Kluyveromyces lactis: one gene and its partner. Each later gene encodes a partner of the first gene's protein in a complex. Links are inferred from orthologs where the notes say so. Each region holds a gene or a part of one and is shown in the gene's direction. Other genes may lie near its edges.

What was found.
Region 2: the proteins of GCD2 (region 1) and SUI2 are in contact, whole or in part, in a cryo-EM structure (PDB 6I7T), measured with the Saccharomyces cerevisiae proteins. The link is inferred for Kluyveromyces lactis from reciprocal best matches to the Saccharomyces cerevisiae genes GCD2 and SUI2. Residues at the interface, in NP_011597.1 of Saccharomyces cerevisiae: Lys376, Glu377, Lys378, Leu381, Ala382, Gln384, Leu385, Glu631, Phe632, Glu646, Tyr647, Ala651; in NP_012540.3 of Saccharomyces cerevisiae: Arg57, Ser58, Ile59, Gln60, Leu62, Ile63, Lys67.

Annotation. Positions count from the first base shown.
Region 1 is NC_006042.1:773,700-777,433, forward strand, and holds GCD2 (translation initiation factor eIF2B subunit delta), read left to right. Parts: upstream 1-1,425; coding exon 1,426-3,234; downstream 3,235-3,734. Other genes in the region: mitochondrial 37S ribosomal protein mS44 MRP13, read left to right, coding at 21-986; MRPL51 (mitochondrial 54S ribosomal protein mL43), read right to left, coding at 3,445-3,734. UniProt on the Saccharomyces cerevisiae protein: Acts as a component of the translation initiation factor 2B (eIF2B) complex, which catalyzes the exchange of GDP for GTP on the eukaryotic initiation factor 2 (eIF2) complex gamma subunit.
Region 2 is NC_006037.1:1,020,166-1,022,934, forward strand, and holds SUI2 (translation initiation factor eIF2 subunit alpha), read left to right. Parts: upstream 1-1,360; coding exon 1,361-2,269; downstream 2,270-2,769. Other genes in the region: KLLA0_A11792g (uncharacterized protein), read left to right, coding at 1-930. UniProt on the Saccharomyces cerevisiae protein: eIF-2 functions in the early steps of protein synthesis by forming a ternary complex with GTP and initiator tRNA. This complex binds to a 40S ribosomal subunit, followed by mRNA binding to form a 43S pre-initiation complex.

The DNA of each region.
Region 1 (3,734 bases):
TATAACAGTCAAAGCAGCGAATGTTCTCTCGGTTTTTCACAAGATCGGTTTCAACTGGTGTAGAGTCTCGTGCGGTCTTTGACAACTTCTTACAATTTGTCAAGACACCACAGACTCTAAGACCATACATCTACCGCAAAAAGAATGCTAACCGTTTGTTGGCCATGGATTTGAAAGATCCAGAAACTAAACTTCCTATTCAACCTAGACCATCAGTGTTAAGACCAAGTGCATCAGTTCTCAATAGCGTCATATTGAACGCATCGTCAGCTGAAGAGTTGGAAAACATGGTTAGAGATTGGAAGAATATCACACCTAGAAGGAAAGAGTTCTGGAGTTATTTGATTCCCCAGCATCTACAAAACATGTTGTTAACTTCCACTTTCAAGTTTGGTGCTTTAGGAGCAGTTTTGAATGTTCTGTACCAAATACAGCCATTATTGGTGAAAGCAAAGCAATTAGAAGCCTATAACGTAGATGTATGGTATAATACTGTATTGATGTGTCAATTGCATAGAAATGCGTTCCAAAACGTTCAAGATTCCGGCATGGTAGAGAGAGGCCTAAGGAAGTTATCATCGACTGTTACCAAAAGAGAAGATACAACTGGTTTAACAAAGGAAATTGTTCAAGCTTTGGGTAGACAACAGAACGTTGAGGTGAAATTACCTAATTTCGCTAGAAATATTGAAATTAACTTGCCATCGATCGATGTTAGCACTGCAAGCCAAAATCAATTAAGGACTTTCTTGACAAAGAACACCACCCAGTATTTGTTGAGCAGAACAGCATTAGACTTCGGCTCAACTGAAGCTAAGCTGCAACAGTTTGTTGAAAACTATCAAGCCGTTTTAGCGCAAAACTCGGTTGCTGACATTTACGACAAATACGTATCCCAATACAAACAGCTGTTAACTCAAAAGGCTACTGAATCTGAAACGACAGAAGAAGCTCATGCAGATGCACAAGCAGAAGAAACGAAATAAAGGATAGACTTATCCGTAACCAATATTTCCCAGAACCGTTCATGTATATATATATAAGAATCAACGTCAGTTAAGAATATTACTAGAAATTCAAAAAACATTAACAAAATGACCATAATTCATAAAGAAACTCACACAATATACTTCTATTATATAATTATTGATGTGCCGTCACGGATTCATCGCAAATTGAGTAAATGTTCGTCAATTAGCGCCTGGTACCATGTCACTCCCGCTAGCCAACTCGGGCACTGAGTTTGTTCGATCTGCAAGGAAATCACCGTCAACGAGTTTTCCATCATTCTTTTTAAGAATTTCAATTTTGGTGAAATTATTCAAAAGCTGACATAAATACCAATCGATGATCTCGCAGTTCCTGTGATCCAACGGAAATCTATTGGCAAATAACGGTATACTTTGAGGTATCAAATCACCAATAATGACAGGAGGAGCTAAGGAGGCTTCAGGGAAAGAAACTAATACTGAAAAGACGGCAAATGCACAAGAAGGAGAAAAACCTTTATCTAATAAAGAGTTGAAGGAACTGAAAAAGAAGGAGAAGGCTGCAAAGAGAGCAGCCAGTAAGCAAGCTAGTGGTATCTCTATTGAAAAACAGCAGCAGCAAGCTGCTGCTAAGCGTGAAAAGAAGCAGCAACAAAGAGATCTCTTAGCTGCAAAAAAGAATAAAGCAGCCGACCCGGTCAAACATGATACCAAGAAGTCGACTCTATTTGGTCATCTAGAGACTGCTGAAGAAAGAAGAGCTTCTTTACTTGCAGTTTCGAGTGCTATCACTTCTACAGGTACCTCAAGGATTACTGCTAATGGGTTAGTATTGCCTTTACTTGCTACTACACCCGCGGTTGCGGTTTCCCAACCAATGTCTGCATCTCCTTTGAGTTCAAACCTTTCTGGAAGCAATACTAATTTGGCAGGTTTGGCTCATTCAGAAGATTTTGAAGCCCATCAAATGCTAAATTCCTTGTCCCTTGATGAATCGTCTTCATTTGTCCCAGGAATATCATCCGTCATTCCAAATACCATGACTTCACAATTTACAAATCAACAATCGATTGCCTCTGTAAAAGAATTGATTGCCAATCGCGAAATGTTACATCCCGCTATCACCTCTCTGACTTTGGATTATGCATTCTATAAAATTATAGGTTCCATTCCTCGTTGTATTGCCATGTTAGAGGCATTCCAACTGGTTGTCAGAGACTACAAGACTCCAGAAGGTACTACTCTTTCACGTAATTTGACAAGTTACCTGTCCCATCAAATTGATTTCTTGAAGAAGTCAAGACCATTGAGTGTAACCATGGGTAATGCCATTAGATGGTTGAAGCAAGAAATCTCTCTAATCGATCCTTCAACACCGGATTCAAAGGCCAAAAAAGAACTTTGTGATAAGATTGCACAGTTCGCTAGAGAAAGAGTGCAGTTGGCTGATCAACTTATCATTGAAACAGCTTCACAACATATTGAAGAAGGCAGCACTATATTGACCTATGGCTGTTCCAAGGTTTTAACTGATTTATTCCTACACAACGCCATAAATTTCGGTAAGAACTTCCAAATTGTTATAGTGGACAGTAGACCTTTGTTTGAGGGTCGTAAAATGGCAGAATCTTTGAGAAATCAAGGTCTTAATGTTTTGTATGTTCCCATTACAGCATTGGGTACCGTATTCAATATGGATATCAAATATGTGTTTTTGGGAGCGCATTCGATTCTTTCAAATGGTTTCCTATATTCAAGAGTCGGTACTGCTCAGATCGCTATGTTGGCAAGCAGAAGAAATATTCCTGTACTTGTATGCTGTGAGTCTTTAAAGTTCTCTCAAAGGGTACAGCTTGATAGTGTCACATCTAATGAACTTGCTGATCCAAACGATTTGGTAACCATTGACTCTGCTAATCCTGTACAGAGACGTAACAACAATGGGTTCTTATTACAGCAATTTATCAAAGAGCGTGAAGCGCAGCAGAAGGAAGTCGAGAATAGCTCTAAGCAAAATAATAAATCTGGCAGTGCTAATACCAATAATGCTACTGCCGACGAAGGTAAGAATGTCAAGGATAAACCAATACTAGCAGAGTGGGAGAAATCACCTAATTTGCACATCTTCAATATAATGTACGATTTAACACCCCCTGACTACATCAAGAAGATCATTACAGAATTTGGTTCGTTGCCACCATCTTCTGTTCCCGTGGTTCTTAGAGAATACAAAGCATCAGCTTGAATGGAGCCCTTTGCATATATAATATACGATAATATCATATAATATAGTAAATGAAAAATTAGTATAGATCTTCTTTTTTATTAATTGCGTAGTAATATTCAACATCGTAGGTTGTTTACTTAGGTATCGGCTTCATCGAGGATATTGCTATATATATGTACAAGTTAAGCTATGATCTCGATATTACCATTCACAAGTCATTTTTTCGATTCAAACCTTGTGTCTGATGGCTGGGCTTAAATGTAGTGGAGACCAGATACCTCTCACACTATCGTTCAAAGTATCCACATTGTCGTTCTTAGTTCTGTGACGGAGTTGCTCACCAGATGCGTCTCTGATTAGTTTTAACTTATTCTCTACATTATCAATGTTCAGATTTTTTACGCAGATGGCTTTATTACGGCCATTAACATAGTCACCTTTTATAACTGGATGGCCAGACTTTCTTACTATTTCGAACTGTATTGTTGGATATTTTTCAGCCCATTGAATCATTCTGT
Region 2 (2,769 bases), on another chromosome or scaffold:
GTCACTAGAGGTGCATCCGGAAATTCCATCTTCAATGTGGATCCCATAGTAAAGAAGGAACCTGACAGTTTTGATTTATTCCAATTTGGTAAAAACACCAAACCCGCCTCTGCAAATATGTTCACGCCAGGGTATGTTCTTGCACAATTTAGTGCAGAAGATACGTACGAAGACATGGTTCGGATCGAAGAACCCCACTTGATAAAGTCTATTCAGCTTGTTGATACTATCCCAGTGGTCGAATTTCACAAGATTGGATTGCTATACATGGGACCCAATGACACAACTGAAAAGGATATATTGTCACACTCTATGGAGGATGGATCCCATCAATACAAATGGTTTGTTAACGAACTCGGATCAATAATAAAACTTGATCAAAATGAAACTTTTTACATCGGCGGTTTGAATCCTGGTACAGATGGAGAGTACGCGTTGATCTGGCATGATCAAAAATGTCAAATCGTGTTCCATACTGTATCCCTAATGCCTAACGACGACAAAGCAGATCCAGATCGAACAATGAAAAAAAGACACGTTGGTAATAACTTTATCAACATATATTACGATGAACGAAAACAGGACTCGTTCCCGTTTGACATAATCAAAAGTCAATTCAATTTCATAAACCTTGTCATCAAACCAATGTGGAACGGCAAAGATGAAAAAGACTCTGTGAGTGAATTCTATAAGGTGAAGATTTACAGAGCAAAAGAAGTTCCTGGTATATTCTCTACATCCCACTTCAAAATCATGCATAGGCAGCGCCTCGCAGCGTATGTCAGGCATTTATGTACTGTCGCAAACACATTCGCACAAATTTGGCACGAGTCCGTATCGTCAGAACACTGTTCTACATGGTCTCGCAGATTCGCACACATCAAAACAATCAAAACGAGGCTAAAAAATCAATCTTCTGGCGCTTCTTAGCACGATCGCATCTAGTATGGGTTACTGGTAGTTAGTATCTCTGCAGCTTAATACCTGAGGGCCATTAGTAGTAAGTAATGAAACTTAATTATAATAGTTAGGTCACGTGTAGTACATCACTCTTAACGAGCAGATCTAAAAATTTTTCGAAACTGTGATGCGAAGTATCAAAAAATTGAAAAGATTGATCATTGGAAAGCATATACAATATTGAAGCAACAAAGCAATTTCAATATCGGTATACAAAGGTTTCCAATTAAGCTTCGAACTTACGCGAGCAGTCTCTGATACCGAGGAATTTAATTTATCTGTATCTTGCGATAGATAACGATTACAAACAGAGTATACTTTCTTTGAGTTTGTGGTATATCTTCCAATTGAAAAATTACACAAGAATTTATCATCAGAGCCATTAGATATACAGAGCAGGATGTCCACTTCCAATTGTAGGTTTTACGAGAACAAGTTCCCTGAAGTTGATGATGTTGTGATGGTAAACGTCCAACAAATCGCTGAAATGGGTGCTTACGTTAGATTATTGGAATATGACAACATTGAAGGTATGGTTTTGTTATCTGAATTGTCAAGAAGACGTATTAGATCTATCCAAAAGTTGATTCGTGTTGGTAAGAATGAAGTTGTCGTTGTATTAAGAGTGGATAAGGAGAAGGGTTATATTGATTTGTCTAAGCGTCGTGTTTCTGCAGAAGATGTCATCAAATGTGAAGAAAGATACCAAAAGTCCAAGGCCGTACATTCCATCTTGAGACAATGTGCTGAGAAATACCAAGTATCATTGGAAGATTTGTACAAAGCTTATGCATGGCCTTTAAGTCGAAAGTACGGTCATGCTTACGATGCCTACAAGATGTCCATTGTGGACCCTAACGTTTGGGATGGTATTGAATCTATCAGCGACGAAATTTTCCAAGAATTGAAGGGCCAAATCACCAGAAGATTGACCCCACAAGCGGTCAAGATCAGAGCAGATGTCGAGGTTTCATGTTTCAGTTACGAGGGTATTGATGCTATCAAAGAAGCCCTAAAATCTGCTGAAGAGTTGTCCACTGAACAAATGCAAATCAAAGTCAAATTGGTGGCTGCCCCATTGTACGTCATCACCACCCAATCTTTGGACAAAGATCAAGGTGTTCAACTATTGGAAACTGCTATCGCAAAGATCGAAGAAGTCATTCTAAAGTACAATGGTGTCTGTAATGTCACAATGGCTCCAAAGGCTGTCACCGCCACTGAAGATGCTGAATTACAAGCACTATTAGAATCCAAGGAATTAGAAGGTAGATCAGATTCCGAAGATGAAGACTCCGATTACGAATAGATGGTTTAAAGTGAAACCAAAAAAAAAGGAATTAAAAAGATATACTTCTACTGCTTCCTGTTGTTATACGTGTATACAGCGTTTCGATACCTATAAGTCTTTGCATGTCCTCTCTCCATTTCTTACTTCACTTAACATTGCATTATATTTACTGATGAAGATGAAACAAAAACAAAAGGCCATTTTCTAACAGATGTTCAGGTAATAAACCTATGTTTCCACTTGACTGTGCAGAGAACTACTCTAGCATTTGAACAGGTGGTATCTGCCAATTACTGTCAGCCTTTCCATTCGATTACGACTGGACGTTTTAAAGGATTTTTACATTAGGAAACTCCCATTTTCCTTTTTTCTAGTTTCTTCTTATAATAATAAAGGGAAGCTCCATAAATCCTTATTTTGAAAAAAGAGTGAAAAGTCTTTAAAGTACAACGAAACGAAACTTCTATGTAGTAACATTAGCACATCGGGTATTTCATTTAAACGTGTATAATAAACTA